Linked DNA regions of Drosophila melanogaster. Changing the gene in region 4 together with the main gene of any one other region gives a genetic interaction. Each region holds a gene or a part of one and is shown on either strand. Other genes may lie near its edges. The genes, in order: Rab11, cac, sens and TBPH.

What was found.
Region 1: of TBPH (region 4) and Rab11, changing one suppresses a phenotype caused by changing the other (phenotypic suppression), as found in Drosophila melanogaster (one study listed by BioGRID).
Region 2: of TBPH (region 4) and cac, changing one suppresses a phenotype caused by changing the other (phenotypic suppression), as found in Drosophila melanogaster (2 studies listed by BioGRID).
Region 3: of TBPH (region 4) and sens, changing one suppresses a phenotype caused by changing the other (phenotypic suppression), as found in Drosophila melanogaster (one study listed by BioGRID).

Annotation. Positions count from the first base shown.
Region 1 is NT_033777.3:21,109,141-21,117,952, forward strand, and holds Rab11 (Rab11), read left to right. Parts: upstream 1-2,267; 5' UTR 2,268-2,675; coding exon 2,676-2,715; intron 2,716-4,805; coding exon 4,806-4,927; intron 4,928-5,612; coding exon 5,613-5,961; intron 5,962-6,110; coding exon 6,111-6,244; 3' UTR 6,245-7,006; downstream 7,007-8,812. Other genes in the region: rtet (tetracycline resistance), read left to right, coding at 107-448, 512-585, 879-1,054, 1,112-1,417, 1,476-1,567; ppan (peter pan), read left to right, coding at 7,164-7,493, 7,556-7,920, 7,977-8,404, 8,456-8,715; Bdbt (bride of doubletime), read right to left, coding at 8,784-8,812.
Region 2 is NC_004354.4:11,981,000-11,987,580, reverse strand, and holds the start of cac (cacophony), read left to right. Parts: upstream 1-2,493; 5' UTR 2,494-2,686; coding exon 2,687-2,904; intron 2,905-3,665; exon of another isoform or gene 3,666-3,745; intron 3,746-6,404; exon of another isoform or gene 6,405-6,581. Other genes in the region: gd (gastrulation-defective), read left to right, coding at 1-107, 151-310, 375-531, 611-1,162, 1,285-1,798. UniProt on the Drosophila melanogaster protein: Voltage-sensitive calcium channels (VSCC) mediate the entry of calcium ions into excitable cells and are also involved in a variety of calcium-dependent processes, including muscle contraction, neurotransmitter release, gene expression, cell motility, cell division and cell death.
Region 3 is NT_037436.4:13,395,020-13,404,196, reverse strand, and holds sens (senseless), read left to right. Parts: upstream 1-3,071; 5' UTR 3,072-3,289; coding exon 3,290-3,449; intron 3,450-3,730; coding exon 3,731-4,812; intron 4,813-6,742; coding exon 6,743-6,893; intron 6,894-7,129; coding exon 7,130-7,362; 3' UTR 7,363-7,969; downstream 7,970-9,177.
Region 4 is NT_033778.4:23,857,612-23,865,560, forward strand, and holds TBPH (TAR DNA-binding protein-43 homolog), read right to left. Parts: upstream 4,983-7,949; 5' UTR 3,836-4,982; coding exon 3,595-3,835; intron 3,533-3,594; coding exon 3,222-3,532; intron 3,165-3,221; coding exon 2,960-3,164; intron 2,905-2,959; coding exon 2,276-2,904; intron 2,217-2,275; coding exon 2,079-2,216; intron 2,007-2,078; coding exon 1,935-2,006; 3' UTR 1,456-1,934; downstream 1-1,455. Other genes in the region: bgcn (benign gonial cell neoplasm), read right to left, coding at 1-1,088; Cpes (ceramide phosphoethanolamine synthase), read right to left, coding at 5,559-6,737; CG5569 (uncharacterized protein), read left to right, coding at 7,912-7,949.

The DNA.
Region 1 (8,812 bases), on a different chromosome or scaffold from region 4:
CTATTACGAGTTCAATCCAAAAGCGTGGAATTCGTCAAATTCAAACTCCTTAGCTAAGCCACAAATAAGTAAACCTTCCTTAAGCTACGTCTTCTTTCATCTATAGAGTGGTATTGCGTTATCCTATCTGATCTGGGCCTGCTCCAGCAACTTTGCCCTGTTCGTTTTGGCCCGCTTCGTGGGCGGAATTAGCAAGGGCAACATATCCCTGTGCATGTCCGTCATTACGGATGTGTCCAGCGTTAAGACCCGTGGACGCGGTATGGCCCTTGTGGGTGTGGCCTTCTCGCTGGGCTTTATTGTGGGGCCCATGATTGGAGCCCTGTTCGCCATATTCTCCGATAAAAGTGGAAGTACTTGGTTTGTGTTGCCCTCTCTGCTGGCGTTTGGCCTGGCAGTTGGAGATCTTGTGGTCCTGGCCTGCTGTCTGCGGGAAACGTTGCCCAAGGTGCGTACGGTTGGCTAAATTAAATATATTCCCAACACCATTAATTGTTTGACCTTTTCGCAGGAGAAACGTGTTAAGGAGATATCATCTGCACTGTCTTATGGCCTGCAGTTGCTCAATTTTTCGGCCATATTTAGGTAATTCAATGTTTTAATTAGCATGTCTCGAAAACCTGTCGTGTGATCAAATCGAAATCGTCATACGGTGAGAACTGCAAGCCACCCGGACTTGCCTGACTGGTTTGATAGACACTATTATCATGCCGGGTTCTCGGACACGTTTGTTTGATTGCCTTATCAGTTAGTAAATTCTAGATTGCTTTTGATTAATTGTAGTTACAGGGAATTGAGTCCAGTTAGCTAGAAGATTATTACCAATGATTATGTCTGGATTTTACAATCATATTTCAAAAGAATTCTCCCACTGACAGATTTGCTGCCATCAAAAATGTGCCTAAGAAAGACATTGCGGCACTGCGATCCATTGGCCTGGTATACTTCTTGTATCTCTTTCTGTATTCCGGCTTGGAGTTCACCGTCACATTTCTGATGTACCACAAATTCGGTTACACTTCGATGGATCAGGCGAAGATGTTTTTGACAACGGGTATGGAGCAAGTTGATAATCTACAATATTCCCTATCAAATTTGTGTCTTTTTCTAGGTGTAATCATGACTTTGCTGCAGGGATCGGTGGTCCGACGGCTGCCCGAGGCGAAGATCAAAGGCTATGCCATCTTCAGTTTGTACCTGATTGTACCCGCCTTCGTAGTAGTCGGCCTAGCCGAGGGCAGTCGGATGCTGTACGCCGGCATGACCCTGTTCGCAATCTCCACAGCCTTCGCTGTCACCTGTCTGACCACCCTCGTATCCAAATACGGAAACGATGACCAGAAGGGTTCAGTACTGGGCATATTCCGCTCACTGGGAGCTTTGGCTCGAGCTCTGGGCCCCGTGGTGGGATGCATTGGTGAGCTCCTCAGCTGTCTTAGGATTATACCTTTTCTAAACTCTTTAATCCTTAATAGCCTTCTGGTGCGTTGGCTCCAGGATCACCTATATAGCCGGCGGACTTCTGCTCATTTATCCAGCCATGGCCTTGCAACGCGCTCGCATTTAAGTGCAATAGGAATAGAGTTTTTAAACTCACTAGAGATCAACGGAAGTATTAGCTGCACATTATACTTAATTTATCGTTTTTTACAAGTATTTTATATTAAAATAAACACATTTTTACTCTGATTTGTAAGCAGGGGGTTTTTACTTGGGATCGAAATGTTTTCTATTTAATTAATTTTTTTAATAAGATAATATTAGAAACAGTTACTGCTACTGGGAGAACGATTCTGTTTAGGTTGGAACGTTTTAAGTATTCAAGACATTTTGAGTTGGAAATAAGTTAAATGGGCTAGGGATAATCCCTAGAAAATGTGTTCAGCTTTTTTAAAATACGATAGGCTTGTCGGGATGAAACGAGAGCAGTTCATGATAATTCGTCGTACCGTCTGGTAACTCTAAAACATCCATCTCGTTAATTTAGTGATGCAAGTCGATGTGAAAACATCGATAATGATATAAGTATGTTGGTGTTTTAAAATAAAACAAATAAGTTTTTTAAATAGGAAACAAACATTAGATTTATTTTCTAGACCTAATGTGTTTTAATTATGAAAAAATTTAATTCTAATTCTAAAGCTTTTGAGTATAAAACAATGTTCATATAAACAAAAATAGAAGTGACATTGTACTATCGCCTTACATCGCCATTAAGAAAATCGATAAGTATCGCCGAAATAATGTCGATGTACCGATATTTTTCAACATCTCTAGTCTCGTTGGAAATATAACGTGACGTTATTGGGAGTGACTAAGTTTTCGTGTAAGAGAAAATTGCAAATAAATGCGCTGCAAGCAGCTGCAAATCTCCAATTAATACTGCTCCAATTGCCGGAAAAGTCCTGCCAGCATTTTCGAACGCATCCGAGCTGGAAGAGCAACCGATTTCGCCACTTAAATACTGATATATACACTTTTCTCTTTCTTTACAACTACAACTGCAAATAAAAGTGTAAAGTGTGTGAGCCGACGACAAACGCATTAAAGAAATCGGCGGCGCGCAGGGATTATTGGATTTCGTTTAGCACCCGCACACACAAAACAAAAAGGACGGAACTGGATTTCCAAAGGATATCGAACCGAGCGAGCGATAGCAAAACAAATTGAGCAAAATGGGTGCAAGAGAAGACGAGTACGATTATCTGTTCAAAGGTAATTATAAACATGATACTAGCCGCTGGTCGAAGATCGCGGAAGGTTGATCAGGAGGGGAGGAGCCGCACTTCCAGGCTCTCCTCTCCCTGCCGTGAGAGACAGTGGTTCAATAGCACTAATTGAAACTAATTGGAGAATAACAAAAAGTGCACTCGAAGAGCCCAAAGTTCATGTGATGGTATGTGGTGTGTTTGTTTGCGTGAGTGTCATTAATTCCCAAAATAAGAAGTACGCCCCCCGAGTTTGTTGTTGTTGCTACTGCTGCAGTTGGATGCCCTTTGGTGGCTCTCCCGCTCTCACTCTGCCTATCTCCATCTCTTTGGGGTACTCTTTCGGACTGGAGTACGCGTACTTTGCCGTTAACTGCTTGTTTTGTCATTACAGTGCCGTTGGTCTCGCCACGTTGCATACAAAAGCCAAGCAGATCGTATTTATAATCGCTCGCTCTGTAAAGTAGGTTTAAGGCTTGCCCACCCACTCGAAATGCTAAAGTGATTAGATATCCAGTAAATAGAGCGAGAGTGTGGGTATTATGATTTCTGTACAGCTGGCTTTTGCAATGGTTTCTTGTAACTTCGTTTAGTAGCTCTCTCTCACGCGCGCTCTCTTTTTCACCCGCTCTCGATTGAAAGTTTGAAGCACAGTAGAGCAAAATGATGTATTTGCAGGTAGAAAACAAGACTTTTATCCCGCATCTTCCCCCGTTTATGTGTAGATATGTATGAACAGAGGTCACAAATTCTCAGCTCTTCTTTGTTCCCTTCGTTTGCTACTACGCCATAAATTCCAATTGCGCTTGGAAATCTCTGCTAGCTATCACAGCTGAGCAACTGTTGAATGTCATTAAAAAAATATTTAAAACTTAATCTGCCGTATTTTTTGGGTCAAGTATACAAAAAGTTAAAAAAAAAGTCATCATAATAATGCGTCAGTGTGCGGTATGCATGATGAGGCCTCAAATTTCACACATGAAACAATATTAAACGGACATGACTCACAGCCAATAACTGCTGAAGAATTCCACTCACCGATAAGCGCATAATCACATAACTGAAAATGGGCCGTTTCGGGTTATTCGAGCCAATCCCACTACTAAGTAATGACCGTCGATTACCACTCCTCCCCTTTTAATTTCTCATCGCATCCGCTTAACTAAGTGCAATTTCTCTTTAAAGATCGTTATTAGCGCTGAGAAAGAGAGTAGAAAACAAAGTGACTCAGCTCTCTCGCTGATAACTGTAACCACGCTGCTCCCAGCTGTCCACACTGAAAGAAAACCCTATACCCTCTAATTTAGCTATCTAAATTAAGTCAAAAACTTGGACTTAGCTCAAAAGTCGTTTCAAATATTTAGTTCCTATCTTAATGGCATTGCAATCGAAACTTCGAACTCAAGAATCAGTGTTCATATGATACCATTTTACTATTTGAATTTTCTCCGTGCAGCGATGACCATAGCGATAGAGCGAAAAGGTGTTTGATGAGTTATAGTTGTTGTTTTCTGAATGGATTAGCAAACATGCTGAATCAACAATGTCCGAAAAGGGTGTCAAAAATGGAAACTAATAGACAGACAGTCAGTAAACACAGTGTCTAGATATCAGTTAATATATATTATAGCCAACAACTCTGGCCGCACATAAGAAAGTTTATCAAAAAGAAATGGAGTCGTAAAAAGGTCAGTGGATAGTTTTTATCGGGTAGCATATCAACTTGGGATGCTTGTTTGCTCCCTCAAATATCCGCCACTCAATTATCCAAGAAATGTTTGCTATCGGCAATGAAGCACAATAACACGAACTCCCTAACGTCGACTGGCCCAATCATAAAACATTTCTTTCCATGGCCTGAAATCCCCCGAGCATGGCGGTTTTATGTACTCGCTGACCTTGGTGCGCCGTGCCAGCGGCGAAAGGAGGACATGACCTAGCCGGGCCACCAGCGACCATTCTGTCCGGCCGTAAAACACAAGACAGGGGCCATGCCACGCCACGCCACACCACACACCCACATAAATTATGCAACTGGGGGTCTTCGATTATCCAATGCCAATGTCGATGTCACTAATTCCCTCTAATCCTTTGCAGTTGTCCTTATCGGTGACTCCGGTGTTGGCAAAAGTAATTTGCTCTCACGTTTCACGCGCAATGAATTCAACTTGGAGTCCAAGTCGACGATTGGCGTTGAGTTTGCAACGCGCAGCATAGAGGTGAGTACGCTGGCCAAGAATTCGAGGGTGGAGTGGCCCATGGAGCTCCACCCCCACACATCTACCGCACCGCACCCACAGTGGGGGAAGTCACGGGTGAACTTGCGTGTGCGTTTCGGTGGGAGGACACGTAGTTGAGGCGTCTATCGGAAAATTGGGGGGAAAAGTTTGTTCAATTTGAGTAAGTGTCGAGAATTTCACTAAATAATGGATTGCCAATTGGCTTTCTTGCATAATTTCAAAAGCCATCCTACGGGATTAGCCAAAATGTTGACATCATAGTTGTCACTTGTGCTGAAATAATAAATTTATGTGGTCAATAACAATTATATATTACGTATGTATAAGGATTTGTGTTAAACAATACTTTGTGCCATCTTTTCGAAGTAGCTTAGTAGGTCATCTTAATATTTAGTATATCAAATGGGTTCAATGAATATAACTTACGCTACTTGCGTTTTTTCTAACTAGTGTAAGAAATTTCAAAAATTGGGTTCTCTTACTAGAGTTAAAAGCTTATCCATAAGCTCTAATTTATGTTGGTTATGTGTGAATACTGAATGCCAGTGCTTGTATATTAATTTTCAAAGCGAATGCGCCGCAGGCATTTCGTGGCGAAATTGCCAATTACTGGCACCATTCTAATGCTGTCCTTTGTTTCATCCTTCTTGTGCATCCAACGCAGGTCGATGGCAAAACAATTAAAGCGCAAATCTGGGATACGGCCGGCCAGGAGCGTTATCGCGCCATCACCTCTGCCTACTACCGCGGTGCCGTGGGGGCCCTGCTCGTCTATGACATTGCCAAGCATCTGACCTACGAGAACGTGGAGCGGTGGCTGCGGGAATTGCGCGACCATGCCGACCAGAACATCGTCATCATGCTGGTGGGCAACAAGTCCGACTTGCGGCACTTGCGCTCCGTGCCCACGGACGAGGCGAAGCTGTTTGCCGAGCGCAACGGCTTGAGTTTCATAGAAACCTCGGCCCTCGACTCAACGAACGTTGAAACGGCATTCCAGAACATACTCACAGGTGGGTCGTTCAGGATATTTTAGCTAGTCTGCTTTCAAATTATCGATCGTTTAAGAATATTTAAATACTGTAGATTAAACGCTTCATTGAAAGTCAATAGATTAATGATAACGAAGCACGACTAATGATGTCTCGTAATCCCGTTTCAGAGATCTATCGCATTGTGTCGCAGAAACAGATCAGAGATCCGCCGGAAGGCGACGTCATCCGCCCGTCGAACGTGGAGCCCATCGACGTAAAGCCGACTGTCACCGCCGATGTGCGCAAACAGTGCTGTCAGTGACCGCCCCAAGCAATTTTCGCTATTCCCCGCAACCGCCAGAACAGCAACATAAACAGAAGCAACAGCAATTACAACTACGACTACAAGAGGAGCAGCAGCGGCCAGAACTGCAACACCAAGATCAGGAGCAGCGTACACCCGATGGACCGCACAAGATGTCTATGCGTTTGTCAGCCACAGTTTGTCATGTGCGCATAAATTGATAATTCAAATCTGAGCCGCCACTCTCCACCACCAACACCACCACCATCATCAGAAGCAGCAGCAGCAGCAAAAGAATCGAAAGCAACAACATCCGGCTGTAGTTAACTGCGGTTTAAACTGAAGTTTTATATATATACAGATCCATGAGTATCGCATAAATCGACCGCCGCGGAAAGAAAGCAAGCAAAACTAAACACTCCAAATTCAGTTTAAGCTGTAGAACTATAATTTATATAAATATACATATATGCTAATATTAAAATATTAATATTATTAATTTTTCGCAACATAAATATATAGTTGTAATTTCGCGAGCAGAACAACAACAAACAACCGGAAATTCTTCGACTTAAACGCAAATTCATTACCACAGCACTGCAGCTCGGATTTTCTTCTTCGGTTTCTCGCAACATTTTAAACGATTGGCCACTTGGTAAAACTAGCTGATAAAGAGAAATCAAACAAAAACAGTTGTAAAACTTTAAATGCATAAATGAAACGAAATAACATCATTTGTGTTTGCTATGTTAAGTGTGATTAAATAAATATAATTTAAATAAAACAGAAGTGCTTTCAATTGGGCGGAAAATCGAAATTTAAAATGGGATTAGAGTGACCAAAGGCAGACGTCGGAGTGGGTGTTTGGTATTTTCCGCGCGAGCAGCCACACTGATCCATACACGTGCGGGAGAAAAGTGAACAAAAACATTGAAACATGGGCGGTAAGAAGAAAGTGCATCCGAAGACGCGCACGGCGGCCTTCAAGGCCAGCGAGCCGAGCGAGATCGTGGAGGCGCCGCACTCCTTCGTCATCCATCGCGGCCTCGCCTGTCCGTACATCACGGACCTCACCCTGGACTTCCGCCGCATTATGGAGCCCTTTACGGCCAGCAATCTGCGCGAGAAGCGGATGAACCGCATCAAGGACTTTGTCAGCCTGAGCAGCTTCTTCCACGTCTCGCACATGGGCATCTTCAACAAGGCCTCCACGCAGCTGTCCTTCAAAGTGGTCCGCTTGCCGCGCGGTCCTTCCCTGACTTTCAAGGTTTGTTTGTTTCATCGCTTAGTTTATACTGGATATTTTACCGCGAAGTTATTCTCTGTCAGGTTCACCAGTTCACCCTGGCCAGAGATGTGATCTCGCTAAGCAAAAAGCAGATGATTGACAACGATCACTTCAAGCACGCTCCGCTCGTCATCATGAACAACTTCAGTGGCGATGGCAAGCACCTTAAGCTGATGGCCACCACGTTCCAAAACATGTTCCCCTCAATTAACTTGGCCACGGTTAATATCGGCACCATTCGTCGCTGCGTCCTGTTCTCCTACAATCCGGACACGAAGCTGGTCGAGATGCGGCACTACTCCGTGCAGGTGGTGCCGGTTGGCTTAAAGCGGGCGGTCCAGAAAATCGTCAAAGGAACGGTACCCAATCTGGGCAAGTGCAACGAAGTCGTGGACTTTGTGACCAAGTAGGAAATGACCGTTTGTTCTCATTCCATCAAATAATCATAATATTGATTTTCAGGGACGGCTATGCCTCCGAATCAGAGGCCGAAGATGATGAGCAATCACATGTGGTGCTGGCACAGACTCTTAAAAGCAAGGGCAACTTGGAGGACAAAAAGAGCTCCATAAAGCTACACGAGATCGGACCTCGACTAACCATGCAGCTCATCAAAATAGAAGAGGGCCTTCTGACGGGCGAAGTACTGTATCACGACCATGTGGTCAAGACAGAGGACGAAAAGGAAACCCTGCGCAAGCTGGTCGAAAAGAAGCGAAAGCAGAAGGAGCAGCGCAAGAAGGAGCAGGCAGAGAACCGTGCCCGCAACTTGAAGCTTAAGAAGGATGAAAAATGGGCTGCCAAGAGGGCGGCAGAGGGACGGACTGACAGCGATCCCGAGGATGATGCAGAGTACTACAAGGAGGAAGTCGGCGAGGAACCAGACGAAGGTGAGTTGTGCTACATGCTGCGTAGAATATAAACTAATGTTTCCTTTGCAGAACTGTTCAAAATGGAAGCGAAGTCCTCCCGAAAGCGGCCTAGTTTGGGCGGCGGAATGAAATACAAGAACAAGCGCGCTAAACTGGATACCAAGGACAAGAATGACAAATCTGAGCGCACGGACAAGTACGATCGTAAGGACAAGTTCGATCGCAAGGACAAGAAGGACAAATTCGACCCCAAGAACAGGAGAGCCAAGTTCGATCCCAAAAACAAGCGCGCCAAGTTTGACCACAGAAAGAGTAGAAAATCAAAGTAGTACATTTAACATAAGCTATTTTATAAAGACCATTGGTTAACACGACATCGCAATGTTATCAATGGGAACTAACTAAACATACGTTGCACCACCTCCT
Region 2 (6,581 bases), on a different chromosome or scaffold from region 4:
GCTTCGACGGCAGCGAATGGTTCGGCCTGATGGCCGTGCGCAGTCCGGATGGCCACCAGCCGCTCCACATACGAGTTACGCTCTCGATGCGTGGCAAGCCCACCACGGTAAGTGGTATATTGTCATCCAGATGTTACCTAATCCCCTTAGTACACACAGAACTATCTGGGCGAAATCGAGCTACTCACACGCGGCAAGTTTACCCACAATGCACCGGTGCTGTATAAGATCCGCTTTCCCAAACATCACTTCCCGCCCAAACTGCTCCTCATGTCAGCCAACAATCATGTGATCTGCTTCGGATCCGGCGGTGCGTATCCACGGAACTTGGGTAGCAAACGATTTAATCCATGACTTGTTTGCCCGCACCACAGAGCACAGCATCTTCATGACCCAAATCCAGTTGGAGCACATTAGGAAGTTGTCCTTTATACCGGATAAGAAGAGCTCCCTGCTGCTAGATCCCGAGGAGGAGGAGGTGAGAAAAACCGACGACAAGCCGCCCAGTACGCCGCACATCCAGTTCAAGAAGTATGCATCCGGATTTTGGTCGGTTAAAACACACACACGATCGTGACATTCATTCGTTACTTAATGTCCGCTTTTGTAGAAAACCCTTTGCCCAGGCGCCCAAGGAGATTTGCGGACGCATCGACAGGGATCTGGACTTTCACTTGTCCCAAAGAACGGAATCACTTCATGTCGCAATCGGTGAACCAAAGAGCTCCGATGGCATCACATCGCCAGTTTTTGTCGATGACGATGAAGACGATGTCCTGGAGCATCAGTTTGTGGACGAATCAGAAGCAGAAGCGATAGAAAGCGATAGCGCCGATAGCCTGCCATCGATCACCAGGGGATCGTGGCCTTGGCTAGCGGCCATCTATGTGAACAACCTGACCTCCCTGGACTTTCAGTGCGGCGGTTCGCTTGTCTCGGCACGCGTTGTAATCAGCTCGGCGCACTGCTTCAAGTTGTTCAACAAGCGCTACACATCCAACGAGGTGCTCGTCTTTCTGGGCCGCCACAATCTGAAGAACTGGAACGAGGAGGGATCTCTGGCGGCCCCCGTCGATGGCATTTACATTCATCCCGACTTTAACAGTCAGCTGAGCAGCTACGATGCGGATATCGCAGTGATTATACTCAAGGACGAAGTTCGGTGGGTGCCAATATGCCTAAAGCTTACATATTCAAGATTTAGATTCATATCTAAACCGCGATGTGAAATCGAATATGAAGATCATTTATTATATTGACAGTATACCATTATTTTCAACGCAGATTTAACACCTTTATTCGACCCGCTTGCCTGTGGTCTGGTTCCAGCAAAACGGAGTACATTGTGGGCGAGCGGGGCATCGTCATCGGCTGGAGCTTTGACAGAACGAACAGGACGCGGGATCAGAAGCTGTCGTCGGAGCTACCGGGCAAGAAGTCCACCGATGCCAGTGCACCCAAGGTAGTAAAGGCTCCCATTGTCGGCAATGCCGAATGCTTTCGAGCCAATGCCCACTTTCGCAGCCTATCCTCAAACCGAACGTTTTGCGCCGGCATCCAGGCGGAGGAACGAGATACGCATCAGAGCGGGGCGAGCATTTACACCGGTATATCGGGGGCCGGACTTTTCATCCGCCGGAACAATCGCTGGATGCTGCGTGGCACAGTATCAGCGGCCCTGCCCGCCGTAGAGACACCGGATGCGGAATCTAGCCATAAGCTTTGCTGTAAGAATCAGTACATTATATATGCCGACGTGGCCAAGTTTCTGGACTGGATCACGGCCTTTGTAATTTGAATCACATCCGAAATGTGTATGGGAACGCATTTCTAAGTGAGCGCTGTGATAATAGCCCCTTGGGCATGGCGATGGGCAAAAGTTACTCGGAGTAATTAGCGGTTATCGGTTTTTTCTTTTTTTTTTTTTGCTAGTTTCATTACGAAAACTTCTGATTATGGCATTTCAGTTTTATTTTTATCTAAGACAGTAGGGCAATTCAAATAATAAATTATGGCACGGGAAAGCCAAAAAGGAATTTTCCCATAGAATCGCTGCGCTTTTAGATCTCCACCATAATATTAACATTAAAAATCTCGAAATTTGCAATGTTTAAATTCCTCTGACCACATATAGAAAACGTGTATGTTGAAAGAATCACAGGTATGTTTGATATCGAAATTAATTGTAATACAGTAACGTTTACCATGCCTTTGTTATCAGTGTGTTGTTGGCGCTCGTGAACAAAGGAAGCTGCTAATATGCCGGAGTGGGCGGCCTGGCCCGTCTGAGCGGCGTTCACCCATGGACACCTGGACACCCTAATTACCAGCGGCAGACACTGTACTGCGCAAATGCTGACTACTATCAAGCACGTCATCGCACGTCATCAGCCGCAATCGTCGTCATCGCCATCTGGGCCGTTATCTATCTTGCTGGGTTGTTGGGGCATCGACAGCAGTCGTAGCCATCGACTATCAGTTCCGTCCGGACCGTGGCAGCTGGTGCATCACACCTGGGGCTCTGGGCCCGTCGTCTACGGACATTCGCAATCGTTGAAGATCCCCAAACAAGTGCAACGCATTGTATTGTGAACGTGCCCGATAGTTGGTAGTGAATATATTACAGAAATGGCAATATTTGGAGTACATTTCGCGTATTGCAAAGTTCGATTCATCGATTCCCAGAATGCTGGGCGGAGTGGGAGCTCGTCGCCGAAGGGGCTCATCTCCTATGGCGCGATTGACCATTAGCAACATCAACGGTCTGGATGACAATATTGCCATCATCGGCGATGGCGTCATCCGGCGGAGCACGCACTACGGCTCGCAAGGGTCTAACAAAAGGCGCCGGGCTCCGGAAAGTTTTGCTCTTGTCCAGACGCGACCGAATCTAGGCGACCTAATGTGAGTACCACTACCAATTTAAATATAAATTATTTAAACTTAACATTATTTTAAAAGATCAATTGATATTTAGAAAAGTATTGAAAATTGGTAAAAATTCATTATTATTAAAGATAGTATGCAAAGGTAATTGACGAGGGTTATTGAAATGTACAGAGATAAAATTAAGTCTGAAATAGAGTAAAATATGTTGTTTGTTTTATATATTAATTAATTAGGTCAAGTATGAGAGCGCCTTTGATCATTTGTAATTCGGTTAAAGCCGGGTTTTCAAATAACCGATATCTTGATGCAAAAGTTTTTACTACAAGGGGTTGAAAGTATTCTTAAAGCTTAAAGCTTTATCAACAATTGTGGCAGTAGTAAATCAATTACTTAAATCAATTAAAAAAAAAACTCTTAGAATGGGTAAGTAGCTTAAACTTCGTCGCTTCGCTTTTTTTTTAAACTTTAGCAGTATGATTTAAGCCCGGATTTTAAAACCGCGATTTCTCGAAAGTTCGATAGTTTTGTTCCCAAGGGGTGAAGAGCAAGCGGAGCTTAAAGCTCAATCGACGACTGTAACGGTCCTAGGAGCGGGTTTCCTTGGAGGACACGCATGCGCTCTCCTCCGCACTGGCTGGCCAGTGTGTCCACCTCCGATTGTCCGATTGAGCTTGAACTGAAGCTTGGACCAGAGCTTTCGGGCGGATGCAGAGCGCAGGGCTGGTAGATTTTTTTCCCCATATTTTTGCCCTTTGTGCGTGTGTTTGGACCCTGGCGATGTGGTAGTATGTGATACAAAGTCGCCGAGTTGAAGTCTTGCGTTTTGTTGAGTTTTTCGTCCAACTGGTGAGACAAAGTCGGTGGTGACAGCTCCCGTAGAAGCGGTTTTTGTTTTTTATTTTTAACTCGGGACCCAGTCAATTTAACAGCAAATGTGCGACAACTAAAATGTGGCTGAATACAGAAGCCTGGCGTTAAAGAAATCAAGTGAAAATCACTCGCAATGCGGGGTTAAAAGTGCTGTGAAAATTCCACATTTCGAATGTTGTGTGCGCTGGCATCCGAATTCGGGTCGAGTGGTGAAAATAACACTACAAACATCCAAACCAAGAACAAGAAATATAGTCGGAAAAGCGTGAAAATCGTGAAAAATCGTGAAAAACCCAATGGCAAAACGTCGAATTGGCGACAATGGCGGCGAGGACAGCAAAAATAGCAAGAAAAGATATCGGGAAACCAAGTGAAAAGCATTATTCGGGCTTACTGAAGCCAATAAACGACCTCTGATTGTGCTCCTCCAGGCAACCAGATCTAATTTTTATTTTTAGCCACATTCATATACATATATATATGCGTTCGTTTCAAATCCCAATTACCGAAGCTATCCTTAAAAACCAGTTGTAAAAGTTAAAGTTAACAAGCCCCACGAACGCACCACACACACACCAACACACCCGCACGAATATACATATCCATATACATATACATATACATATACATATATATGTATAGCCATATATATATACATAGTTGTTGGGATTGGGTCAGCGGGTCGGTAGCACAACGGGCGGAATGTTGCGTCGGTGGTGCTATATATTGCGGTGGATGGAAGTGGAAGTGGATGTGGCAAGAGGCAAGTGGAAAAGCAAAGGCGAAAGGAAAAGCTAAAGCCAAAGCTAAAGCTGAAGGAGAAGGAAAAGGAGATATGGAGTTTTCGGGTGTTTTTTAGCCTATCGGTATATCGTTTATTTTTGTGACGTGTACACGCACTTTCGAGGTGAATGAATTGCGGCGATGTAGCAGGAAGCACCCCCCAAATTAATATTTAAATTAACTATATTCTCAGTCCACACAAATATTTACTAGTCGTAAATTCCCCAACCCACACACACACATACAAATCTACACATGTATATGTTTTCCATACCGGAAACGAATTCTAATGATGGTTCTCCTCTCTTCACGGAAGTGAAAAATTTGTTTGTCTCTGTTCTTTTAACAATGCTCATATGAATACTCGTATGGGGAATTGAATGCGAGCATATGAACAAATATTGTGGTAGTCGTGTGCTCTGTAACTAAACTTATAACGACATATCAAATTTCAGTTAGTTGGTTCTTTAAGCCCAATTAAAAGTGTAACAGTTTCCAGAAAAAAAGAAATAACAAAAAGCGTTAGTTTAGAGGGGGCAACGATGGCAAGTGTGTCATTGTTGCTGTTTATTTTTGGCAATTACAGGTTCGTTGGTCTCACTGTGGCCCGATTGTAGTTAGACACACAGATATATATAGCTTCTGCCCATTCCAAAAACCCAAAATCGTTCCGAAAGACATCGTCAACATAAAAAAAAAAAAAATTTCAGACAACTGTGCCTGGTGACGTCACTAGGGAAAATAGAGCTGGAACTATACAATTGCAATAAATAACAAGAATTGCTTTTAAAGAAAAGACATTGCTTTGCGCAATTGAAAATGAACTATTCAAAATAGGGCAATAGTTAATTTAAATGCAAATGCAACCAGATTTACTGGGCCCTTAAAAGTAGGCAAGCGATTTGTGGTTGCGATGTTATCGTTATCGGTGTGACCCAGTGATTGTTGAAACCAAAGAGAAAGAGTGAGAGAGAGAGGGGGAGAGAGCTTCTGCCGGTACGTGTGTATATGTGTGTGTGTGTGGATGGAATGGAGAGAGTTGAAATTTGCAAATGCCAATTCTTGTTATCAGCCCCGTAAATCAAAACATTTGATTGATCTGCAAATAACTGTAAAGATAAAACCTTGTTCGTAGTTTCACTGCCTTATGGGCTAGTTTGTCAATTCAAGAATACTCCGTAAAAGGTAAACAAGTTTTCAGAATTCTTCCAGTCGGAATTCAGAATCTCACCGTTTCACAACTCACCACAGCCCGTGTATGTGTGTGTGCGAGTGTATTGAGCTTTTTTTTTTTTTGGTGTTCCATACACATGCATTTGTATGTGTGCCAGTCTCTCAGCCTCTGACTTTTTCATCCCCTAACGTTTTTCATTCATGGCGTGTTCCAGTAATGGAATTTTATACCAATAACCGAAATAACCACATCTATCTGCAGACCGTGTCCATAGCCATTGCCAGTCCGAAATGTTGTGGATCAGCTTCTCTACAGATACACCACATATTGGATACAAAAATAACACCAGCCATGCACTTGGCATGCACCTGAGTAACCACATTCCCATACCCATGCCCATGCCCATTCCCATCCAATCCATATGTATGTATATGTTCGTGCGCGAGTGTATGAGCATGTTTTCAATAGGTCATGAACTGAATTGACCCGAGCGCATCATAATTATCGGTTGGCAAAATAAGTAGCACAACATCGAAACACTCAAAGCTAACGCAAAGCCAAGCGAATGAAACAGAGATTCCGGAATCTGACCAGTTTCACTTCAAATCGTAATCAAAATCGAATCGAATCGAGTGTGTGTGTGTGTGTGTGATTTGCATCTAATCGAATTTCGTATTTCCAAATTCAGTTCAAGTGCAATAATAACACGGTGGTAAAGCGTGGAATAGCTAATAAATAATAATAAAAGACAACGATTCAAAAAGCGATAAATACAGCAAAGGAATAATAATAATAAAGTGTACAAAAAACAGCCGAGCCGAAATCAACGATCAAGGGATTCAGGACGAGGACGCGAGTTAAGGCA
Region 3 (9,177 bases), on a different chromosome or scaffold from region 4:
CCTTTATTTGTTATAAGTGTAAGTATAGCCTTTTATGTATTTTGTATGTTAATATTATTGCCAATAAACTATTAGAATGTTGTATAGGACGGAAATGCGTTGTAGCACTACAAATTAAATACCTGTTTAAAAAAAGATGAACTTATAAACCTTTCTGATTGAAATCACTATTTTGATAGATTTATGGATTGAAGTTATTATAGATTAACATGATAAAAACAATGATTTTAATCAATTTCGTTGTTTTAATCAGTCTAACGTTAACTAAAAATCTGTTAATCGTATGAGCACGGTAATCGTAGATTAGTTGTTATGGCCATTCACCAAGTCAACGTGACCATTCATCATGGGGGTTTTCATTGGGCCAATCCAACATCTATCTAACGGTCCAAACGGCCCACACACCTCCGATGTTCGCCAGAAGCAGAAACTCACCTCGCCACGAGCTGGCTCACATACACAGGCGCAAACCCGTTCCGTGTAGGTGTTACCCGCCCTCTCGGCGTTCTGCTGGCCAATCAGCGAGCGGCTGGCCGAGAGCCACGAGCCAAGTGCAAAGGCATTTTCGAATTTCCGAGCGGCAGAGTGTGGGATTTGCTCAAACGCAGGGGCACGCTGAGGGTGTCGTAAATAAAATGTCGCCGACATGAAAAAACAGAGAATGGAAATTATATACGACTCTCGAACTTGTGATGCATTGCAATGCACTACAAAAAATAATGATTGATAATTCAAAATGCATTCAAGACTTTTGGTATCAATCGTGATAATATTTATTACAAAATTCTAGTTTTGAAGCTTATTAAACACGTACTTTCAATTTTAGAATTTTGCTTTTACATTTGTCTGTCTTAAATAGAATTATCCTATTTCGAAGTAATGGATATTAAAACTAAATAGCACCAACTTATTTACATGTTTGTTGCGGTAATCTATAATAGATTTCGGTTTAAAGTAAAAGCCTTTTCAATAAATTTCTCAGTGCTGCATTCCTAGCTGCATTAAGCGGATTCTATATGCAGGAATATTGTAATTTTCAAAACAGTATTTCTCTCAGTGTACCGCATATCAAACGATGATAGATGTGTGAGCGGCATACGGTGAATCCGTTACAAAGCGGCAGGGGATGAGCACGCGCCCTCAGTTCTCCAGATAAACAATATGTATGGGAACGCCGCCAAGCGCAACGATGCCACCAACTTGACTTGGCCAGCCCTCATCGCGGTCGAAATGGTAGAAGCCAGAGTTCCCCCATTTTGGCCCGCTTTTAGGCCGCGTGCCTCGTACCGCTTCGCTAGATCGGCGGCACCCGTGGCGGACACGAGTGCGATGGAATTTCGGTGTCGCCTCAACTCTGCACATGTCCTGCCATGGAAATTGCGCCAAAAACTAGGGGATGGGAACTAAAATTGCTGACAAGGAAAAGGATCGTTAAATGTGGAAGTGTAAGTGTGCGCCCGCCACATTTTCTTGGCTCGTTTTCTAGGCAGGTGTGGCCCGCGCCAAGGATAGATAAACTGGAATTGAGGCGGCCAAGACGAGGTGGCCAAGCGTGGCGAGCTACCAACTCAGGAGGAGGACCCCGAACTCTCATCAAGGATAAGCTCGGAAAAAGGTGCATCGAGCGGTAGAGGGAGAAAGTGGCAGGTGCTCAGTCGTCCTATCTGAGTGGTTTAATAGCTACGATCCAACGAGAAGATGGGGACTTTATGGCTTAGAGTTTGGTATTGGTTTTAAATTGACTGACAAAAGAATTCAGTCTTTTAATTTTATTGAAATGCTTTAGGAAAATACGACGAACTGCAAAGTTTGCATTGAGAAATTTAACAAAAACTTTGTTGAAAGTTAATGTTCTGAAACCAAACCAAACTATTTGTTAAAACGGTTTTAAATGGGAAATCTGATATTTTGATAGCTATTAAATAAAATCTGTCCTAATCTTATGTATTTAAATGTAACATTATTATAATCAAATATGTCATTTTGGTAAGGTAGATTTTATATAGAAATATAACAAAAAAAATTCTACAATAATTTAAATAAAGTTTATATATTTGTGCATTGGTTGTGAAGTAGGTTTACGTCAATCCTCTAAAATGTAATAACACTTTTTATGGATGAAGTCTAAAGCTTAAAGATTAAATTCACGATGTTGCTTTAAACTATTTACCCTTATTGGGAGAAGCGCAAATAAAAATGAATTTAAACTTAATTTCTCCTATATTTTACTCGCAATGTATTTTTAATAATTAATACAAAAATTAATTTTCATCACATTCAAAATTAGGAACCCATTTGTAATCCTTGTCAAATCTAAAGGTAATCTAAACAGTATCTACAAACATGGAGAGTTGCCACGACAGATGTTAGATCCTTGGATTCATCCACCTAAATATTTGTATGCTACCCCGCCCCATCCCGCCCTCGTCCTCTCCCCCCTTCCACCGATCAGCAGTGAAATCCTCTGCCGATTGCTGGCCCTCTCTCGCTTCTTCTCCCTTGGCCAAAGTACCGATCCCGATATTCCTGAGCCAACAACAGTTGGTGGCAGCAACAGAAAGAGCAAAGGCAATTGTAACTGTTACAGGGCAGCGGGAAAAGGATAACAAACGCCCGCCAAACTTTAAGTGCATACCAATTAGTAGGGAAACGCGTGCTGGAAAACCAGTAGTAGATGGGCCAAGAGGATACGAACGCAGGGGGTTGGGGTATCGAGATCGCCAGGGGACTCCTAACTGTGCGTCTTGACCCATACAACATGGAACACAGGACTGCAACTGCCGCCAACTGCTGCCAAAGGTGAAAAACCAGAGTTGGCAACACGAACACCAACACCAACAATACATTGCAGGGCTCTCGAGAGCCACCACCAAAAGAGTCAACACCAATACACCGAGGGCTCGTTTTGATTCGGCTTGCTGCCGCACTCACACAGTGCCACAAGTAACCACAGTCGCACACAAAAATAAAAAAAAGAGAGCTCGATTTGTACCTTTTTTTCGGGCCAAGTCGCTTCACCGTTGGCTCAATTTAGAACTGAGCCATCGACCAAAGATTCAGTCAGGTGCGAAGCACCGAGCGATACGGACGTGTTCGTCTCCAGTGAGTCAAGATAAAACCGCACTGAATAAGACCCATCGAAGATCCGTTCGAATCCAAGATCACAACGCCAAGAAAGTGAGATTTGTGCAGTGAACAGTATTGAGAAAAATCACAATCCAAAGACTGTTAAAGCAAATACGTAAATCAGATCCAGTGAGATTCCAAAAAGTAAAGATCCAGAATCAAAATGAATCACCTATCGCCGCCGCCATCGCCGCACTCCCAGCAGCCGAGTCCCGCGGGATTGGGCTGCCATGGAGCAGCTCTGGACAAGCAGTGGATGCAGCGGGCATCCGCCTTCAACACTGTGATAGCCTCCGCCGCAGCACAGAAACTCAATGGTCGAGGTGAGTTCCCGATCTGGATTGACAGAAAAATATATGGGGCAGTAAAGATAGCAAAAAGATTAGCTTATAGCTTTTTAATCGTTTCGAATTGTATTTAAAAGATCACTCGATTTAAAATCAAAATGTTAACACTTTCAACAGATCAGAAAAATTATGTTAACTTTACTGTAGTTCTTACCAATACAAGAGTAACTTTATATTGATAGGCATCCTGAGGATACTTTTCCTTCCTAATCTTAATCACTACTATTCAACTGATTCGTTAAATTTGCATTTCATAGATCTGCCCTTTTTGTACAACCCGCTGCTCTACTCGAGTGCCCTACTGTGGCCCCAATTTTTGTTGTCCTCGGCCACGGCTCTGGGTACACCACTGACCCCCATGACCCCCAAATCGCCCGCCTCTGTGGTTTTGGGTCAGCGGGATCGTGACTTTGCCTTGACGCCCGAAAAGGAGCATGAACTCCAAATGAACAATAACAATGAGAACAGCAAGCAGGACTATCAGGAGCAGGATGAGGATATGCCACTAAATCTAAGCACCAAGGAGCGCATCACATCGGATGATTCCAACCGAGATCAGTATCACAGCAGCAGCAACAACAGCAGCAGGAGCAGTTCCAGCAGTGAAGTGGAGCAACTGCATCCGATGACCTCGCTGAACGTTACCCCGCCTCCCCTGAGCGCTGTGAATCTAAAGAGTTCGAGTACACCACAGCAACAGCGCCAGAGATCGCAGGGTAACATCATCTGGTCACCGGCCTCGATGTGCGAGAGATCGGCGAGAAGGGAGCAGTACGGCCTGAAGATGGAGGAGCAGGGCGATGAGGAGGAGCACCAGGTGGATCCTATTGTGCGAAAGTTCAAGTATGAGCGCAGAACTGCATCCATATCCTCGCTGCAATCGCCGATCTCCTCGCTGTCCGCTCCCGCCTCGAATGCCGTCCAGGATCTGGAGTTCGAGGTGGCCCAACAGCAGTTGTATGCCCATCGCAGCGCATTCATGGCCGGATTGACGGGCAACAATCTGGAGCTGCTCACCCAGCACTTGAAGCTGAAGAGCGAGCAGCCGCAGCAGCAGCAGCAACAGCATCGCATCAAGGACGAGCAGCAGCAGGATAACCGCTCGGCAGCGGCACTCATGAATTTGGTGGCAGCCGCCGAATTCGGCTACATGCGTAATCAACACCAACAGCCGCAGCAGCAGCAGCAACAACAGTTGCATCACCAGCAGCAGCCGCAGCAACATCAGCATCAGCAGCAACATCCTGACTCGACGGCCACAGATGTTGCGCGTCGTTCGTCCTCCTCGTCATCTTACCAAGGAGAAAACGAAGAGAAGCGCAGCGGCAGGAATTTCCAGGTAAGCAAACTCAAACAGGATAAACGCGTCGAGGGGTAGGGAAATATGAAGAGGAAATCGAGGGCAAATCGCTTGAAAATCTCTGAGCCCCCAGCCCGCTTTAATGGGCTTATCACGTGTCCTGAAGGACCATGATCTATAACCCAAAACGAATACTGTTCGTATCATTGCATAAGGTTGCGTGTCCTCGACAATTCCCCTGTGTTAATTGTTTCATATTTTGTCCGTGCGGGTTTTAATTGTCGCCGAGCCGAAAACCCCACCAATACCACTTTCAATTTGGAAAAGTGGCACAGCAAATACTGTCATAAAGTTGGTAATACAAGCCAAACCGATAGAGCTCTATGGAAATTCAATTAAGTCCCATCGAAATCACGCAATTAGTTAATCAAATAATTTTGATTAGCGCCAGTGCGGTGGGGGGCATAACTCGCCCTCGAAGATTTATGTACAAATTACAATCATAATAATTCGATATTGGATTGTGCAAAAGGTAAGAGGGCACACGACCCTCAGGAATTTGAGACGACTTACCCTAATAGGCCTTATGCCTACCCCGATGTCATATTGCGTTTATATCCATCAACACCCGCCGCGAGTCCTTATTTTTTTTTTTTTTAACATCTTTTTCCAGTTTTTTTTTCACACATTAAAGGGTCAGAGTGAAATGCGATAGGTTTTCGGGCTTCAGTACCGGACCGACATATGGTCAAAAAGCCGACGAAGACAGTTGCCAGAGTCCTTTGCGCAGGCGCAGTCACTGTTCTTCAGCTGTTTATGTATAAAATCGAATTTTTTCTGTAATTCGTGCTTTACATCTGTTCACCATTGGAGGCCCACCCGGCTGACTCAGACTTTGGGGTTTCTCCTTAACTCTTTTTTTGTTTCCCTGCTCGTTTTTTCTTTTTTTTTTTGCCTTTCGAGCTTTGCCAACTTCCGTTCCGTTGTCAGAGCTAAGCAAATTGACATTATGGCTCAGGCAGTTGAGCGCAGCTTAACAATAGAGCAACTAATTGGGTCTGAGTCTAGCCAATGTGTGTAGTGGATATGGTCCACGCGAATGCAATGCGCAAATAGAAAATCCCAAAAACAAGGCTAAAAAAAAACGTAAAAAATAAAAAAATAAGAGAACATAAAAATCAATAAGAAAGAAATTTTAAAAAACCGACACTTGTGTCAATTTACAATTACGCGTAGACCATGCGGGTTTTTCAAAAAAAAAATTGTCTCACATTTTTTTCACCCATTTCTGTGTTTTACTTTTCGTTGTTTTCATGTTTTCGTGTTTAATATAAATGTCGCCCACGTAGGCCGACGATTTGAGTTGTGTTATGTCAATGTTTGGTTACTTGCAACGTTGCTGCAACTGGCAAACTGTTCAAACATTTAATCTGACAACCGAAGATGTTACAGCCACTGGATTCGTCCAATCCCCGCGATCGATTCCCCGTGGATCCCAGCTGTGTTTGGCCCACAAATACTGCGGTATATACAATGTATGTACATATATGCATGGCTAAAGCTCCCTGGAAAGTGTCTCACTTGAGATTTAGCATTGGGCCGAGATATTTACCTAGCTGGTTTCAGCGCTGAGAAATGGCTAAGGTTCTAGATTATTTGTCGCCTGGATGTGGGCTAACCAAGTTTGGCTTGGTTTGGGTTTTCCCTTGTCGTCACTTGTCTAACAAATATTTGAGCACTCACAAATCTAGTTTAATTCATGTTGCCACTGCGAATTTGGCTCAGGCACACAAAAACGGTGAATTTATATATAAATTCTTTTCTGATTTTTTGATTATTTGGCTTTTTGGTGTGAATATGCTCAAGCTGTGCAAATATGGGGTATTCTGAGTTCCAATAATCATGACTCGTTCTGTCTGAATGTGGTGTTAATAATGTATTTTTCTATTGTCTATGTCTTTCTTTTTAGTGCAAACAGTGTGGCAAGAGCTTCAAGCGTTCGTCCACCCTGTCCACACATCTGCTCATCCACAGCGATACACGGCCATATCCCTGCCAATATTGTGGCAAGCGGTTCCACCAAAAGTCGGACATGAAAAAGCACACGTACATACATACCGGTAAGTTGAATATTCGGTGAAATCAAAGCTAGTCCATGGGGAGAGTATCCAACTATTCCTCGGCAAATGTGTCAGAACGTGGTGCAAACAGAGCCACCCTTGAGCACACACACAGATCCCTATCGCCTTTCAATTTGTCTAATTGCTGTAAAGCTGCCGCCGCCTCTCGGCCACAATTAATAAACTTTGAAGCGGCATTTAACTAATTGTGTTTATTGATTTTCCTGCGATTCCAGGCGAGAAGCCACACAAGTGCACCGTGTGCCTGAAGGCCTTCAGCCAGAGCTCCAACCTGATCACGCATATGAGGAAGCACACGGGGTATAAACCCTTCGGTTGCCACCTTTGCGATCAGTCCTTCCAGCGCAAGGTGGATCTGCGACGTCATCGAGAGAGCCGCCATGAGGAGGCTCCGCCAGTGGAGGACCTGAAGCCCCTGAAGATGGAGGTGAGCAGCAGCAGCTGCTGACCGAGGCTAGGCGGCAATCTCTGATCCAGGAGATCCCAGTATTAGCTAAGCAGGACGAGACACACACTCAAAACCAGATGATGATGATGATGATGATGATGATGAAGGTGGAGCAGATCACAGTTGGCCCTAAGTCTAAGTCGTTGCTATGAAGCCAAAGTTTGTTTTGTTTAGGCCTTCGCAAAGATTTACCTAATCGTAAGAATTATTGTTAAAACATATTAGCTAAGATACTGCCTTAAGTCTGTACATAGTTATCCCAAACAAGACTCTTTTTTATAGCCGTTAAACCCTAGCTTAATGATTAATCTAATTTATTGCATAAAGCGTTTTTGATTTGATTCAAACTTAACCCAAAATTGGCAGCTAAACGTACCAAAGAACAACCTCAAACAAATGAACTACCACTTGGCGACCACTTGTCTAAATTTAGTTTCCTAATTTATTTAAGTTTATTGATGGCATCACCCACATTTATTTATACGATCTATGCGAATTTTTAGTTTATTCTTATTTTGTAATAAGCCCAATGACTTATTGTAATTATATTTATTAGGAGCGTATATGATTTTTGGAAAATAAAGTTGAAAGCTAAAAGAGAACAAACAAAATATATGGGTTTTTTTAAGGATAAAATATCTAGAATGATTGATTGATTCCTTTATACAAAATCCTCAGGCATATCAGAAAATACACATGATATGATTAATACATATGTATATATTTTTGGTATGTATTATTAATTCAAAAAGTTTTTACATCGGGTGGGTTAAATATCTCATTATTACGATCAACCCCTTGAGCAGCTGAGAAATTCCTTAGTATCAAGGACACAGCCTCCTCCTTTGAAGTACCACATTTTGATACAAATTGTCCAAAGCGCTCCAAATATTTTTTCGGGGGCCTGTTCGTAAACCTGATTTTATAGATGAATTTCTGCACGTACTCAATTGATGGGGAATAAGTTGCTCCTGTTTCGGGTGACGCGGTGATCTTTGATCTGTGCCCAATGTGGCATTTGGGGAATGCCCTTTGTAAGTCGCCGCGTTACAGCAGGTACACATCCCCCTCGGCCCACTTGCATGCCCGATCCTTGGGGAAAACGCCAATAAGTGTTCGAAGTTCGAACTAATTGCTGACGAAATAAAGTGAGAAATGGGGCTGGCGGGGATCGAGAAGGGGGGGGGGGGCATGGAGCAATGGTCATTGAGGACTGCTGATCGCAATTTTCGGTAATCGAAATGTCCGAATGCATTTTGCGGCACTTTAAAACGCCCGAAATGAAGTTTGGCAGTTTACAAATCACCGACTTCCCTCATTATCGCCATTCATCGGCAGTCGCAATCAGAAATCGACCAAATCAGCGAGCCCCATCCGCAGGATTTTATTTGGGGCCACTTTCTGCAGCCAAACTCGATCGTCGGGTTGTTCTTGGTCTTCTTTGACTTTGGCACGCCACAAATTGATCGAAATTGACAAAATATTGAAAAAAAAGAAAACCGGGCAGGGGAGAGAGAAATATGCAGTTCAATTGTTGCCGAAGAAAAATGCAGTTCAAGGACTTTACGCCAAGTGCCGACAAAGTGGGGATCAAAAGTCAAAGAATGTAGATGCTGATCATTATACTATTGAGTTGGCATTTGGCCAGGTGGATTGCGAAACTCAAGGTCGGACGTTTTATCAAATTTAGTACTTTGAAAGTGACTCGCAAGTTCTGTGCAAATATGACTTTCATTGAAGATATTGATATTGAAGTGAAAAGTCAATAAAAGAGAAGGTAAATCCGTAAAATCAGAAGCATAAGTGCATAGATTT
Region 4 (7,949 bases):
TTGGCGCGAAAAGCCTCCGGAATCTCCTTGTAGATGTCCGGACCCTTGTGGATGCCGGCCAGGGCAATGCAGCTGTGCAGCTCGTTCAAGTAGGAGACACGTGGTGCGACCTCCGGCTGCTTAATCATATTCAGTTGCAATCCCTCGCCAAAGAAGTCGGTGAACTTCTTGGGGTTTCCCATTTGCGACAGCAGCACCACCCTCAGGTTCTGATGGCTACTTAGCGCCATGCGTATCTCGCTCAACAGGATGTCGGTGTAGGGATCATGCAGGTGGACATCGTTCACCACCAGGTGACTGATGTTGCGAAACTGCTGGCTGGTCAGCGAGCGCAAAAAGTACTGCGCCGTCGAGTAAATAATAAAAGTGCTGGAGCTAACGGCGCTGAAGTACGGCAACTGGATGCCCACCGTCTCGCCCAGCTGCTCGCCGAAGAAGTTGGCCGTTCGCTGGCTGTTGTAGGTGGCCAGAATGGCCTGCCGCTCGATGCACATAATCTTGACGTTGGACTTCTTGTTCCGGCAATCGTCCAGAATGACCAGGGGCAGGAAGACGGACTTGTCCCAGCAAAGCGCAGCGTTATAGACGATCACCCGACTGGCGTACAATGACTGCAAGATCTCGTCGCTCAGCGAGTGACCCAGAAAAGCAGTCAGGAAATTCAGCTGCGCCTCCGTCCAGAAGCGCAGGTTAGGAGGACGTATGGCGGGCAGCGGCAGATGCAGTGACGGTAGGTCCGAGGCATTGGCCTTCATGGAGACGAGGTCCGCGTAAAGCTCCAAATCCTCCTTGCCCATCAAGGACTTCCTGCTCAGCAGCGTAAACATGTTCAGCGTAGCGCCCGAGGACAAAACCAGCGTCTTGGGCTCCTCCAGGTAGTGGCGACATGCCTGCTTGTACACCTTCACGCAGCTATTCCCGTTGACATGGACCACCTGCGATCGCAGCCCCAAGGAGCGGGCGTTGTTGGCGAATGCTTCGTGCTCGCTGGTGCGGAATGTGCACGGGAACTGCTGGCAGCAGCGCCGTCCCGCCAAGAAGTAGAGCAGCTGTTGCGGAATGTACTTGTCCTGGATGATGTGGTTCATTTCTGCTAGCTTCAAACAGATTGACACTAAATTAAGTGAAGTGCGCCGCAATGCGCGCGGCAATTGCAAGTTCCGTTATTGCCACCGTCGTGAAAATAGAAAAATGGCGGAATGGAACACAGGGCTGTATTTTCGCTGGCGCAAAGCTTGCTCATTAAGGGTATTCCTTGCATATACTCAAACAAATGTGTAGTGGAAATTTGTAAAAAAAAAAGATCCAGGTGTCATTACAAACTGAATTATAAAACATACTTTGTTATTTTCAAAGAATAAGAGATAAGTTTCCAAGACGGGAGAGTTTCCTTTACAGGAATATATTAAAATATTCAATTCACAATCCCATAGATTCCATTCAAATGAAATGATTCACTTTGTACTAATATGCTTTTGCATTCTTTATTTTTTGAAATGAATGTACATGTTAAATGAATTCTCCTCTAAAATGAGGCTGCGCCAAATTCGTTTAGATATCTTAAAGAAAACTTTGTTATATTGGAAATTCTCCGCAGATCCAGCATTATAAGTGCACAATCTTTATAACTAAACTTTCTTAGCGTAAGCCAAAATATATTTAATAAACAACAAAATACAAATCAAATTCTACTTAAGTGATACAATGATACAATTTTTACTGAGCTTTGGCGCAGAATTTATTTTGAAGTGTGTTTTATCAATTGTGTTATTAGCCATCCAGTGTCATCTTGTTTACAATTATCAAAATATCTATTACATATTAAATACAATTCTTAACTGGTTTGTATGTGGAATACATATATGTAAATTTAAGTAAGCTACAGAGGTGTTGGTTAACCACATTAACCACATCATTGGGTGACAGGCACCGCCTTAAAGAAAGTTTGACTTCTCCGCGGCGTTTTGAGATCCGCTGCTCTGGTTCGACCAACCGGTGTTCCCATTCTGGAATAGAGTAGAATAGATTCTGGCTGGGATCCAGGTTTCTTAGGGGATGGTTTCAGTTTTGACTCTAACCTGTGGCTCCGAGTTGTCGGTCTTTATTCCGTTGGCGGCCGGATTGTTGTTCGGGTTATTCGGCCCCTTCCGTCCACCAAAGTTGTTGGCATTGTTGTGGCCCCCGTTCTGAGCCATCCAAGATAGAAAATTGCCGCCCTGCGGAGCAAGTGAGAGAGTTTTTTGTTTGAAACAATGATTGAGGTGTGAAGGCTTGCCTGTTGGTCCTGGTTTTGGTTCTGCAGCTGGTTGCCGACCAGGCTCCACTGGTTCAAGGCGGCAGCGACCAGTGCGGGATTGATGGGCAATGAGTTGAGATTGAGCATTGACTGGTTGCTCATGTTTTGGCCCTGGTTGGAGGAGCTCGATCCCTGCGAGTTGATGCCCAGGGCCTGCAGGTTGGGCATGTCCAGGTGGCCACGGTTCATCCAGCCGTTGCTGCCGCCCACGTTGCCGTTATGCGGCTGGTTCATTCCGTGAAAATTCGACTGGCGACTGTTGTACTGGCTGCCGCCGTCCTGGCGGTTCGTGTTCCCGCCACTGGAGTGATTGCCGCCATTGTTGTGGTAGCCCCCGCCCGAGTTGCCGCCGTAATTGTTGCCACCCATGCCGTAGCCGGCGGTGCCAATGTTGTGATTATTGGGCACAATTGCGTTCTCACCGCCGTGAGCATTGTGTTGGTTATTACCTCGGTGGTGTCCGTTGCGGCCCGGATTCATGTGGTTACCCTGTGGGTGGTATGAGTGCATGCCAAAGCTGTTGGCAGAGTTGTAGTTGTAGCTCTGGACCTGTTGGTTTCTGTTCTGCTCGGCCTTTGGAGCAGCATTCGACACATGGACCGAAACGCCTGTGGAAAGTGTCTCATTAATTCCCTGATTCTTCTCCACGCGGCAGTGACTCACCCTTGATAATGTGATCCTCTCCGCACAGGGACTGTGCCACGTCGGGATCAAGGAAGGTTACAAAGCTAAAGGCCCTGAAGGGCCGGGGAATGAACACATCAGTGACTTCGCCAAACTTGGAGAAATACTCGCGCAAGTCGTCCGAGTTAATGTCCTCGGTGCAGCGGCCCACGAACACCTTGCAAGGCACCTGGTGGCCCATGCCCTATGAGAATAGAAGGATTAGTAGGCGTGAAATTGCAGGGCTAACAAGAGGACTTACCTTCGAGTTGGGCACCTTAACCTCGCACCAGCGACCGTCGATCAGATGGCGATTGGTGAGCACGCGCATCTGGGCATCGTAAGAGCCGAAGCGCACGAAACCGAAGCCCTTGGACTGGCCCGACTTGGTGTCCTTCTTGATCTGGGCCATCAGCACCTCGCCGTAGGTCTCGAAGTACTCACGCAAGCTCTCCTCTGTGGTCTTCCACGGCAAGCCGAGCACGATGAGATCAGTGCAGCGCAGACGGGTCTCGATGCGTTTGGTCTTGGCAGTTGAGTTCTCCAAGTTATCGTCGCTCTTGCGCTTGTTCTCTGCAGGGGGGGATTACAGAATTATTTAAGGTTCAACAGGGAGTCATACAACTCGAATTTACCCTTGGGAAAGACGCAAAAGTAAGCGTACTCGCCCCAGCCGGACTCCACGCTGGGCGGAAACAGTCTGCCCTCGTTGGAGCGAACTCCGCGCACAGCCTTCGTGTCCAGGTTGCGGTACTTCAGACCGCAGGATCCAGGGAACTGAGCTTGCAGTGTGGACAGAAGCAGAGTGCCATCCTCCTCAGCCGGCAGCTCGATGGGCTCGTCGCCCTCCTCCTCCGACACTTGAACGAAATCCATTTCCTAGAAGGCTGCTAGAAACGAGGAGGGGATTAAAGAACTCTATCGCCGCAGGGGCTCACACTTCGCTCTAGAAATGATCCACCATGTCATTCAGTCAACGGAAGCATCCCACATATTCTGCATCGCTGCATTCATGAATGCACTCACTCAGTTCATCCGTTCTATTCAGATGCATCCCAAGGTACAATATTCAACACAAAAAGGTTGCCCCGAACCACTCTATACACACATTGCTCGTGGGACCAAGCCAAAACAAAAAGGATCCTACACTAGGTCAATCTACTAAAAACGACAAATAAACAATGTTTCTATCTCTTGTAATTTCGATGATATAATTTTAGTAAGTATTACAAACATATTCATATATTATTAGTGTTCATGTTTAGGCGTTTCTTTACGTTATTATTAGTTAAAAATTCTCTGAATCAGACGCTACTTATGTCCCACCATCGGCTAAATGCCTATTCTACGTACATTTAGTTAATAAACAAAAGAAGAATACCCAATCCCAAGTTTACGATGTATGGCATACATATGTATATGTTTTGAACTACTCAAGAAAACAGATATTTCACCCACTTAATACGAGTAAACTGACGTTTGTGAGTGTGGAATCGCGGCAGGAATTGGAAAATCAATGAATGAAAGCCACATAAATTGAAAATATCCAATCCTGTCGTCTGTGTGTGAGTGCAAGTGTGTGGCACACACACACACGCACACAAACGCAATCGTCGAGGGGAGGACATAATGTGTAGACGGAGGCAGTTTGGCGGTCCTAAAAGATGGTTGGTTACACAACAATTCTTACACTATTGACAGGGATTAGTTGGTTGCTGTAATTTCTGACTGCGTATGGCAAGTAGATATAGATTTCTGATCCCAGATCTCAGATCGCACGCTCTCTCACACGAATTCGATTCACACCCAGGCAAAATCAGGTATTCACTGTACGTTCCACGCTCGGTTCTTGACACAACACACGCTTCGATGCACAACCACTTTCAATCGGTGCGAAATAGGAATCAGGTAATATTTACAATTGACAGCTTAACAAATTTTCAAACGACGAGTGAAGCATTTCTTCTCGCTTTCCGTTTTGATTTTCTTTTCCTTTGTATGTATCGCCTGACGTATGCGCAGTGTGGCCGAACAGGGCTAGTGAGAAATACCAGCCGGCGGGTAGATATACTAAAAGTGTATTATTTTTAGTTAAAACAGTGCATTGTCACATAAATTTTAATAGCCTCTTTATTAAACTATATGAGCGTTGATTGCCACTATGAATATCTAAGCAATATATTACATTACAATATGGCAATTATATTGGCATTTGGTACTGTCGAATAAAATACCAAACCTTGCAGTGCTGCCCATCAGCTATACCAAAAAAAAACTTGGCAGCATTGCGCATCGTGTTCATTTGAAATTTCGAAACACAAAACATTATAAATAAATTCAAACGAAATTAGCTCGCCATGGAAATGCGTACGATAAAAACAGCTAGACTTTATTAATCAATAACATTTATTATTTACAGCTGAAGGAGTTTCGATTGCTCTTGCAGACCGCGCTTGAATGACAAAATGCATTAGTTGGTTTCGAAATATTAATGATTGGCTAACAATTATGATACATTATTATTTATACACAATTAAAAAAGGCATCGCTGATTTGCACTACACAAATATTATTGTATTTTCTCGTAATATTAGTAAAATCACAGTGAAATATTACTGCACGCCGTAGAGTTGAAAATGTAGTTCTGGGCCTCCAGAATGTGCATTTCAGTTAAACATATAGCAACTAACAGGATAATGTAACCGCTGTACCGGATCGCGCGCAGGAAGTCCCACAGCTTGTCGCAGAAGATGCTCAGCAGGACGCAGTGCAGCAGGGCGTGCACGTTGACGATGCGCCACATCCAGGCGACGCAGAAGAACCAGGTCGACTTGAACACGTAATCCTGGCAATGCGACTGGTTGCCGCTCACGTCCTCGCGCTCCAGCATGTTCTGGTAGACGGCAATGTAGCGATTCCACGCCGTCGAGCTCAGCAGCAGCTGGCCCGTGAAGCTGATCACGTTCTTGGCCACCTTGCGCGTGGTGGCCTTCATCTTCGGTATCATCATGGTGGGCTCCGGCAGCTTGGAGTCGCTCATGGGTATGATCGAGTAGCCCCTCCGCGGTGGATTGTTCTTCAGGTAAAAGAATATGCCCAGCAGCAGCGCAATGCAGCCGAGTCCGTCGCACAGGCCGTCCACATAGTAGCCGGAGGTGCCGATCTCCGAGCGCTCGCCGCGTATGTGCTTGCGCACGCGCGCCACATGCCCGTCCAGGTCGTCCAGGAAGGTGCGGATCTGGAAGAGCAGCACGCCCAGCCGCCGATAGCCCAGGCTGTCCGAGGCCACCAGTTTGCCCGCCAGACAGGCCACGCCCACATGGAAAAACGATATCATGTTGGGCGTGATGAAGGTGGAGCGCGAGAAGCCGATCACGTTGTCGAACATGGTGGCCAGCGGGGCGAACAGGTAGTGGTTGGTGTGGTCCAACAGAATGGCCTTCACGGTCACATGGCAAAGCGGATTTATATCACAGGATATCCAGGTGTGGTCCTCGTAGGACGGCTGCCGGTCGCCGGCGGTGGGTAGTTTCGTACTGGTGCTGCTGCTACTGCTGCTGCTGCTGCTGCTGCTACCACCGATGCTGCCGGACCCGGACTCCGAGGTGGACGGACCCACGACGGAGGCGGGCAGCGAGACATTCGTGTGATAGTTCCTCTCGATGGCATAGTTGTGGATGCGCAGGTAGAGCTCCACGTCCATGAAAACGTAGAAGATGATCAGCAGGAACAGCAGGGTGAGCAGGATCTTGCTGATCTGCGAACTGGGTCCGATCATGGTGACACTTTGAGGTAGCGCTTAACACTAAGTTCTTATCGGGCTGATTTCAGGGCGCAGCTGTGGGGCGGAAAGAAGTGAAGCTGATCAATATGGTTTATCGAAGCGAAGTAGTTGTCAAGATAAGCCGCGCACGGCATAAAAAGTTTGGCAAGCAACATGCAGGGTTTTGAAATCCCCTTCTGAAATTCTGAAATCGTATATGCGATCATAATAATGCTCAGCTATCAAAGAGTGAAAGCTAACAACTAACCACTGGCAATGCGTTCTTATCGAAGGAATTTTTGACACTTTGGGGAGCGACCGCAGTGACGAAAGAGGCGGGGAGAATAGAGCAATATGGTCAGTTACTGGTACTGGATGACTAAATCAGCCCACTTGGGCACCCACACATACACACACACACCCCACCTCAGCCCGCCCAGCCGAAGCAGCGCACTATCTGTTCCACTATCTGCAGGTATTTGCGGAAGCTTTTGGCGAGGCACTGGGAATTATAGGCGCTATTAGTAACCTTTTAACTGCCAATGCCGATTAACGGGGCTTCTAATTGGCTGCAGGAGTGTGCGTGCACGCAGCAATCCATCACACACACAGCACACACACACACACTCATTGGGCGTGCGTGTGTTGGTGGAGGGGTGCTCCCTGATAAGTGGGCATATGGTAATGGAACCATTTATGGGCTGGAATTGGCGATCGAAGTGATATAGGTGATATGGGTGATAGCTGCGGCCATTGCGTTGGGGGAATTGGCACTCACCGCCTTGCTGAATCATTGAAAACGAATATAGACTGTATCAAAACATTGCAGTATTTATTACTGCGATGGGGTAATGCGAGCAACTTGTTGGAGTTGCAGCCTGCAGACACTGTGGCACTTAGACGTAGTCAACAATAGCACATAGATAGATAGTTATTGCTAAAACACACGGATAAATGTAAAAGTTTATGTTAATTGTTCGTAAATTTCGTAAATTAATGGCCGACCAGTGTGGCCAGCGTCGCGCAAAATATCGTGCACCAGCGAGGAATCCAGCGCTATCGATAACATTCGGCCCGCGCGCTTTGGGCACCTCCGGTCACTCTAACCGGTTAAACTTTTCAACTTCAGTCTATTTTGATAGTTTTAAATTGTTGTAATAGCCATTAATTACTTTTCTAACACAAGACCATGATTGCGCGCACCCTGCGAACGGTGGGCCGGCAAGG